Oryzias latipes: one gene and its partners. The protein of the gene in region 1 interacts with the protein of each later gene in a pairwise test. Links are inferred from orthologs where the notes say so. Each region holds a gene or a part of one and is shown on either strand. Other genes may lie near its edges. The genes, in order: wdr6, ptpn3 and g2e3.

Region 1 (2,778 bases):
GTGATGTTTGTGTGTTAGTGAGCGTGCTTTTTATTTTTCAGAAACAGAACACGAGCGCTTTTTTGTGTACATGAGAAGGAATCAAGTGGAACAGTGAGGTTACAGGGATCAGAGCTGAAGAAGGTGGAGGACTTTAAGTTTTTATAGTCCAGAACAAGTTGCATGTGTGAGAAGGTTGGGTAAAGGAAGGTTTCAGCTGTGATAAAGGAATGTCAGCAAGAATGAAAGGAAAGGTGTAGAAGACTGTGGTGTGAGCAGCCATGCTGTGGTTTTAGAGGCAGAGCTGAAGATGGTGAGGATCTCTTTGAGAGTGAAGAGGATGGAAAGGATCCAAAAAAATGCATGAGAGTAACAGCTTACGGTAGATGTTATGGAGATAAATGCAGGGAAGCAGATTGAGATGGACCGTGATGATGAAGGTAAAGGGATGCTGAGGTTACCAGAGGAGGTTCATGGATGTAGATGAGGAGGACACGAGGGAGGTTGGTGTGAGTGAGGAGGATGCAGAGGAAAAGAAGTGGGGGATTCGCTGTGGCGGCCTTCCAAAGGCAAAGAAGAGCAAAGTCATGAAAGTTTACAGATTGAGACACTTTATTCAAATTAATTTTTATAAAAAACATATAGTCCAATTATGTTGGCTGTTTTTGAAGAGTCACTTTGATGCTGCGGTTACTCTTATCCCGGTTCTCTCTCCATCCATCCATCGCTAAACTTCTCACCTGCAGGAGCTGAAGTCCTTGCCCGCAGACCAGCACCCATCCCTCTTTGATGATCCCTGTTTGGCTCTCAGGGGAAACCTTCAAGCACCGTTTAGTGTTTGTTCCATTAACCGTTTCACCTGAGCTGTCAGTCAGAGTTTTTAATCTTGAGTGATGTGTCGAGGGCTCTTCCTTGTCAACAGCATTCTTGCAAACTGGGTTGATTGTCTCCTTCACTGCTACAGCAGGTTGTCCAAGTTCCTGTTCGCCAGCTGCTTCCTCACCGTCGCTAATCCACCCACCCTCAGTTCTCTCCGTCTTTGTCTCCGGCTGCATCTGGCCCTCTTCTTTTCTACTAAGTGCATTTACAAGCTCAGACTCGGATCCCGTCGCACTAATTGCATCTTCTTTCTCCCCCTCCCACACTGCCATGGCTGCAGCATCTGCAACGTGGGAGCACAGCGCCCCACTGTGGCTGATACCGACATCGCTGACCTTCCAAAGGCAAACCCTCTGATCTGAGGAAGTGGAAACCAGCAGGCCTGTCCTCAAAAGCTTCAGGGAGGTCAGAGGAGCGGCGTGAGCCAGTGGGATCCGGCGTTGAGTCAGGAGATGAAGCTGAAGCTGGTTGTGGTCTATTTGGAGTTCTTCTACTGAGCTTTGGCAATGAGAAATCTCAGAAAACACTCTGCTGCCCCCAGCCTTCCCATTTCCTGGGAACTGCACCCTAATTGTGGACACTGTCAGCTGTCCATCATCCCCTCCACTAGCAACAGTTACCTGGCAACTGCCTCCTTCTTTTCCCAGTTTCTCCACCCAAACAACCAATGAGTTGACGCCACTCTGGTGGGCGGGAATATCGAGGCAGGGAGCTGGTGGATTTGTAGCACCACTTGAAATATCAGTTGATAGAACTCCAGTTAAATGCCAAACAGCAATTTTCCCATCTGTGGCGGCACTGAACAGCAGTTTGTACCTGTGAGAGAAGATTGGCGTGACAAAGAGAAACTCTGTACGCATTTGTTATCAACTGTCATACAGACTTCAAACATCAGTACTTTGATATAAACAATACATTCAACAATTTACCATTAGAATTAATGCAATGTTTTCTTCTTAAGTCATTGAAAAAATAAAAAAGCTCAAGTTTTGAACGATGTAAAACCAGATATTGTTACAAAAGATTTATAAACACTTTATTCATTAGAATTGTTGATGATGAAAAACTGTTATTTTCAGCTACCAGTAGGAAAAAAGCAAACAAAAAAGGTTCATCCTTTGTCAAATGTTTCTAATAAAAAAACTGTTAACTTATATCTAATCAATATTTTATTCAAACATTTTAATCCACTAAACAAGGGAAAACATCTGGTTTGACGATTTGTTTCAGTATTTTATTCCCAAAATAGTTTTTTTTTATTTGTATTTTCAAACTATTTTCAAACTCAAAACTTTACAACTCATAAAAAAATAAAATACAAAACAGAGACAAAACTCACAAACGGTTGAATAAACATCATCATCAACAACATCAACAACTTCATCGTGAATTCTTCATTGTCTTTTTTGATTCATAACAGCTAAAAGAGTTTTATTGCCATGATATTTTGTGTTCACACCTGAAGCCCAAACACAAGAATCCCACAGAGGACTAAAAGAACCAGCACTAATTTTAATCTCTTCACTTTACATTTCATTCATTCTGTGGAAGAAAAAAAAAACCTTCCTAGGTATTGGAGTCATTTAATAATGAATCAATAATTTTCACAACTCACTACCACTTAATAACTAACTTTGCTATGTAAATGGAAACAGTAGCTTTTTCTATAATAATTACCCATTGAGTCATAGAATTAATTATAAAAAACAAAAACAAAATACAAGGTTGTATAAAATTGTAAAAGCTTCCACTCACCTGTCATTTTTGACAGCTTCCAGGCTGCAGGTGGCGACACTGAGCACACAGCGCTGGTGATGACACGTCTCCCACAGCAGCTCAATATGATTCTTTGACTCAGTTACTGAAAACAATCTGCAAAAGCACACAAGAGTAAATCTCAAATATATTTTAACTTTTTAA
Region 2 (2,768 bases), on another chromosome or scaffold:
GAGCAGCAGATTCACACCGTCATCATGCTTACAACTCTAACAGAGAGGGGACGGGTATATAACATTCTTCTTCTCAAAAACTGGAAACAGCAAAAAAAAAAAAAAGTTTATTTTTAAGGATGGGAAATGAGTAAACAATAAGGGAAACACTTGAACTCGCTCAGCTCGATTTCAGCGGCGCAGTAACTGATTACTGCAGCATGACCTGCGCATTATTACGATACGTCATGTTTGACTTGATACAAGATTATAGTAATTAGGAGTTTCACTGGGGATGTTTGCACACAAAAATGATTGATTAGCTCTTGTGTCAGTAATTACACGGTTTCAGTGTGTGAGAGCTGGATTCCAATGAGGAAAAAATGTTTTATTGGTATAAATGCATCCTTACGGAGGCTGCAAGATACCAAGGTCTTGCTGAATGTCTGTGCCTCAGCTTGCCTGTTGCTTAGTAACCAGATGTTCTCATTAATTGATCATTTTTTCTGATAATTCACCTTGCTCCATCCATAAAGACATGGTAGACTCTCATTTGTAATGTATAGATCACGACTCTAGACCCCGGTGCTGCATCTGACGAACAGGTCTTGTTCCTCAGGTTGTTAAATATGGGTTGATCTGCTCCAAGTTGAGTTGAGCTGAGCTGCTGTGAAGCGACTGCAGTAAACTGTATCCTGAAGACCGTCAATACTGTGATATGTTGTTTGCGCCACACGCTCCACAGACCAAGTGCCACCAGTACTGGCCACACCCACCGAAAGCGAAGGATTACGGGCACATGTCAGTGGAGTGTCACTCGGAGGAGTGTAACCTGGCTTATGTGACACGACGGTTCACCCTGAAACACACTCAGGTAAGCTATAGCAATGAGATTATGTGTCGCCTCCTAAATGAACCTGCAGCTGATCGATATCTATACATTAGTGTGCCTTTGAGCAAAAATATGACCCTTGCCACACGCTCAATTATTCTCCAAAACACTCACCCACATGCCATCAGGTTATGTCTATAACCACAACTGAAGTTTTGCTAACCTTTGACCTCAGAAAAAGGCCGCCATCTTGAATTTTCTATAGAAAAACACCTTTAGTACCAGTTTCATATTTAAACCCCTCCTAGAGATTGTGCATTTTTTAACTGAAATATTGTGAAAATGTAATGCATGAATCCCTGGCACAAGCTGATAATATGATAAAACATACGATGTGACTATACAAGTATTGTGGGCGTGGTTAACAAAAACCGCCGTTGCCAAGGAAATCCAAAAGTTTACTTTTGCTGGTTGTTCTAAAAATTGTATAGATCTGTTCATCACCCCCAGGTGACCCAAACATAAAATGGTTGCTGTGGAGATAAAACCAATAGAAACATCGCTATTTTGAGGAAAAAAAAACAACAGTATAATTTCATGAATTTGTCACAAGCAGTTCTGACCAGAGTGGCAGAATAATAATAATAATAATGAATTTTATTTCTATGGCGCCATTCTGGGCACCCAAAGTCACCTTACAGGTACAAACAATCAGAAAAAACAGTTACAAGAATAAAACAGTAGTTAAAAGTAAAAAAAATAAACAATAGAATCATAAATCAATTAGGGTGGATATGCAAGTCTGTAGAAGTGGGTTTTGAGAGGTTTTGCAACCTGAGGAAGAGTAAGAGACCTTGGCGGGTGGCAAGGGCAGGTAGCTCCTACAAGCCATACAACGCTGTCCGCGGCTTTGATTATTATTACTTTCTTGTCATTTATTTTGAAATCTGTCTCAGTTTACAGTTTATTTTATTATGTTTAAGTATTTTGAAATCAATTAAAGTTTCCAGCTGATTTCATGTCCATTTAAGGCGAGACCACAGACACACAATGCATTGCTTTTCTGCATTGTATGTTGCCACGGCATGTAGCATGTTTACACCATATGCCACACAACGGATCTCACCGCAGGCAGCAGCCCCTCCTGGCAAATTAACTACATCCAGCATTCAGTCACTTCCGCTGGGTTTTGTCTGCACGTGTGTGTGCGTCAAGTGTCGCTGTGTGGAGGTGTATAGGGGGCAGGTGTGTCAGGGTGTCTGGGACTTTTTATTTATTTGTTAAACTGTGTCATGGTAGGTAATCAGATTAAAAGCCCCGGCCTCTATGCCGAACAGGTAAAGAAGCAGAGAATGCTCAAGGAGGCATGAAGTATGAACGCATGCACATGCATACAAAGATACCGCCGCGCTGGCCCATCTGTTCCTCTCATGGAGCGATAATCCCTGCATGGAGTCACAGGCTACATGCCCGTTAGAAACTCTGAAGTCAGCCATTCTCCCAGCAGCCTTAAACTCCGGTCTTTTCCTCCATTCTCTCTCCTTTTGTTTTTATCTCTGGGTTTCATAATCTCTCTGTCACCTACTGATGGCATGGATGTCTAGCTCTGTTGTTCCAACCTCCTGCCTGGTTTTCAGCCCTTCTATGTGTGAAACAACATCCGTGTTTAAGCCTTTAGTGCTGCAGTGTCTCATGTGGGTAATTAACCCAACAGTAACACATTCATAATGATTATGCAACACTTTAACTATCCTGGCTTTCTGCTTCTCTTTTTTTATTTGCATGTTTGATTTGCAGTTGGGTGATGAGCGTGCGATCACACACCTGCAGTATGTGGCGTGGCCGGACCACGGCGTGCCCGATGACCCGTCAGACTTCCTGCAGTTTGTCAGCTCTGTAAGAGAGACGAGGGACAAGGAGCCGCTAATGGTCCACTGCAGGTAACATGGCGTTTAAA
Region 3 (3,761 bases), on another chromosome or scaffold:
TCTTTTACTTGATAAATAAGAATTAAATAATTATTGAAACTAGATAATATAAAAAATAATCATTTAATTTGGGGGAATTTAGATTTCACTCATAATCATGTCTGCAGTATTCTTAAAAATGAGCTTTATTCATTATTCATCGGCTGAACCCAAACTAAAAACGTTGCAGTTGTTATGTCAATTTAAAGATTAAATCAATGCAAATCCTACAAACAAATCTGGCAGACATGAATTGTGTGGGCATGAACAGATTATCCTCAAAAAGAAGAATGCGGTCTTGATAGGCCTCGTCTGTATAAATAAAGTTTTTTTGTTAGTTTTTTTAAGTGTGTCACTCACAGTCCTGCAGGACAGTGGTCGCCTTCGGCCCCCTCGTCTTCTTCCTCATCCTCAAACCAACTCAGTCTGTTGGAGGAAAAGGACACGGATCACATGACTGAGCAGAAACAACAGCTGGAATCACCGACCAAATACTGAACGGATTCACATTTGACTCACAGTTTTAAAAGCATCATTTGTTTAAACTTAATGTTCTTTTTTTTTAATCCATCGTCAATTTTATCTGATTAAGAGAAACTTCTGGCAAAAGAAAAAGTTAGGAATTTAATGCAAAAACTGTGAATTTCAACAATCATATTGTAAATTCTTACCTAAAATTGTACAGTTTTTGTTTGAAAAAATACATAATAATAAATTATTTCTTACTGCTGCACATATGGTTTAGTTTTATTATACTTTACCAACAAAACTTTAAAAATAACCTTATCTTATGATATTATGCTTTTTATTTTTGAAATATTAACACATTTATTTGTTCATTTTATTACTTCTGTTCTGTTTTTTTTTTTTTTTTAGGATACACAATGACAGCTTTCTATTATGCTAATTTAAGTTTAACCTGATCGTCAAACCTGTTTAAATATTGTTTGTTTGTTTTTTCAGCCTTAGCCTCACAGTTTTTCTTTACTATGTGATATAAATGTGTTGTGTTGAATATGCTGACACAAATTTAAACTGTTAAAATCGTGTTTTTATATATAACTTTAACAGAGCACCACTCATGGCGTTCTTACTAAATTCCAAAAACATGCGAGTTTGAATGTCAAATATCGAAAAAGAACAAAAGAAAACCCGGAAAAAAGTTTGTTTCTCCAACCTACTTACATCTATTGTCGAAGAAATCACTCGCTGCTCATTTCAAGTAAAATAAAGGTAGTCCGTTCATTTTTGTGTTTACTTTAACGACGTCCGATTTTGAATTTTCCTCTTTCAAAACAAAAGAACCTCACTTCCGTTTCTCGTACCCCAAACGGAAGTGACGTTTCCCGGCTATTCAATGGCACCGACACATGAGGGCGGTCTAACCAAAGAGTGTACATAATCTCTTACTTATTTAGATTAATAAAGTAAAGTTATGGGAAAAAATGGGAAGATTAAAAAACGGAAATGAACCAAAACAAACAAAAAAACAACAACATTATTTTAAAAGGCATTTATTTGTCAACCAAAGCAGAATAGTTGAACTATCGATTAATACAAAAAGTACAAGAATAAAGCTTGAGACAATAGACAATTTTACAACAAGAGACAAACAAGAGACAATTTTACACATGCAGTATAAATAGACCTACGCTTTATTTCATGCAAAATATGTAAGAACTTTTTTACTTTTGCTCCACATAAAAACACATTAACCTCATTTAGTCACCTTGTCTCACAAGTTTAAAGCTTATTTAGGCTACATGTTTCCATTCCAATTTAAAGTTTAAACGTTTTTTAGAGTCTTGACTACAAATAGATGTAACACAGTTTTTTAAAGTAATAAACCGTTTAAAAAATTATTTAAAAAAATTTATGCTTTGTGTTTGATTGCATTTAATGGATTTCTTGGAAGAAGGTTATCTGTGGAAAAGCTTGTGAACAATTTGCACTGTTAAATCAAACTAAATAAAAATAGCTAGTTAAACATTAGATTGCACTTATAGGCCTATATAGAGTGTTGTTGTTTGTTTGTTTTTTACTCTTCAGGTTACAACACATGTATTGTTCTGTTAAAAGCGTGTTGACATAGAAACAAAGTGTAAATAGGCTCCTAAAATTCCAACAGACGCTTCTTAACTGTAGGTGGCGCCATCTGCCCACGACAAAGAGAAAAACGTCCTTGGGGTGTCAAGAAAATTCCAAAGCAACAGGTAGGTGTCAGATTGTGTTTAAAAACAACAACAAAAAACAAAGCAAATATGTGTTAATATATTTAGAAGCAATAGAAATTGTGTGTGATTTCTAAAAAAACGTGAACTTCCGTCACACTAATGAGAAACCATCAGAGAACATTTCAATGAAAGAACACAGTCCGTTTACAAAGACTTTATTCATATGGGTAAAATTCTGGGGAATTTGTGTATTTTTCTAAATAAATTGAGGGAAGTTTTCTCCTCTTGTTGTCAAATCTGTTGGATTTTCTGGTCTTTTCCTAAATTGAAATTATAAATCATCAGGAGAATAGTTAATCCGAACCAGGTGAGTTCTGTTCTGACTGAGGTGTTGCTCCTGCAGAGTTTAGTCAGCTCAAAGTCCAAAAGAAAGCTCTGAAAATCGGCTTAGACGCGCATTCACACCGGAATGTAATAGAATTCAATTCTGTTTGTTCTCGTGGTTTGGTTCTGCTTGAAGCGGGTGCTTTGGTCCAGTTTGGGTTTGTTTGTTCACTGCAAACATCCGCGTCGCAGCATCAGCTGACCGTCATGGATGACATCTGCTGCGCAGCTGCCGGGGATGCGCGCAGATGATCTCCGGTCAGAACGACGCGGTTCTGATCCAGGAGCGCCTTCGGCTCCCGCAGACCTGCAGCCCGGGGCCCTGGGCGCGGCAGTGGCCGTGGACTGCTCCCGCGGGGCGCGCCGGTGGTGACTGACTGCGGAGGAAGCGCAGCGTCACCGGGAAGGGCGGTGCCCGCAGGTACACCACCTCAGCGACGACGGCCAGACTCAGAGCGCGCGGAGTCAGCCATCCCACACGGGCGCACGCGTACACGCCGAGAAAAACGGGAAGTTGGGCTCGAGCTCTGGAGCGCGCGGCGTCACAATGTTCAGCTGGGTGAAGCAGGAGCACGGCAGCCACAACAAGGAGGGAGAGATGTACCAGACCGTGACGGAGGGGCTGCAGACGCTCTACAGCAAGAAGCTGCTGCCGCTGGAGGAGACATACCTCTTCCATGACTTCCACTCGCCGGCGTTGGAGCCCGCGGACTTCCAGAGCAAGCCCATGGTGCTGCTGGTGGGCCAGTACTCCACCGGGAAGACCACCTTCATCAGGTAGGACCTCTCCAACTAGGCCAAATCAACAAGTCCGAGTAGAGAGCCAGTGTTCTTGCAGAATCACTGACCTTTGGAGAGCCTGGTGACCTTTTAGAATTTTTAGTTGGGAGTAAAATTCTAGGTCAAGGCTAAACGCATTTATCAGCTGATTGAGATCAGGTTTGGGGTCAGAGACATGAAGGTCATGACTATGTCGTCACTGTAGCTGCATGAACATGTGTGTCCCTGCACCATAGGACTATTCCTGGCATGCTCTGTGCCAGAGTTCTGTGGTGTTGAAATAACATGACATCACCTTGTCTGCTTTCCTCATGTGGCCTGCAGTTCTCACAGGAACCACAGCATGACCTCATGGCTGCTCCATTTATCTACTTTCAATCACTTTTTTGGGTCAACAAACCCTCACACATCTTATCTCATCCGGTTTACACCACAGCTCTTTTG

The links.
Region 2: the proteins of wdr6 (region 1) and ptpn3 interact in binary tests that used the Homo sapiens proteins (3 or more experiments, as listed by UniProt). The two-hybrid records come from large-scale screens. The link is inferred for Oryzias latipes from reciprocal best matches to the Homo sapiens genes WDR6 and PTPN3.
Region 3: the proteins of wdr6 (region 1) and g2e3 interact in a two-hybrid assay, tested with the Homo sapiens proteins (2 studies listed by BioGRID and IntAct). The two-hybrid records come from large-scale screens. The link is inferred for Oryzias latipes from reciprocal best matches to the Homo sapiens genes WDR6 and G2E3.

Annotation. Positions count from the first base shown.
Region 1 is NC_019865.2:6,740,207-6,742,984, reverse strand, and holds the end of wdr6 (WD repeat-containing protein 6), read right to left. Parts: intron 2,731-2,778; coding exon 2,614-2,730; intron 1,675-2,613; coding exon 630-1,674; 3' UTR 570-629; downstream 1-569. UniProt on the Homo sapiens protein: Together with methyltransferase FTSJ1, methylates the 2'-O-ribose of nucleotides at position 34 of the tRNA anticodon loop of substrate tRNAs. Required for the correct positioning of the substrate tRNA for methylation.
Region 2 is NC_019874.2:17,810,230-17,812,997, reverse strand, and holds part of ptpn3 (tyrosine-protein phosphatase non-receptor type 3), read left to right. Parts: coding exon 1-54; intron 55-724; coding exon 725-853; intron 854-2,608; coding exon 2,609-2,751; intron 2,752-2,768.
Region 3 is NC_019880.2:2,556,951-2,560,711, reverse strand, and holds the start of g2e3 (G2/M phase-specific E3 ubiquitin-protein ligase), read right to left. Parts: upstream 2,650-3,761; 5' UTR 1,161-2,649; intron 406-1,160; 5' UTR 389-405; coding exon 340-388; intron 1-339. Other genes in the region: EH domain-containing protein 4, read left to right, coding at 3,085-3,314. UniProt on the Homo sapiens protein: E3 ubiquitin-protein ligase which accepts ubiquitin from an E2 ubiquitin-conjugating enzyme in the form of a thioester and then directly transfers the ubiquitin to targeted substrates. Essential in early embryonic development to prevent apoptotic death.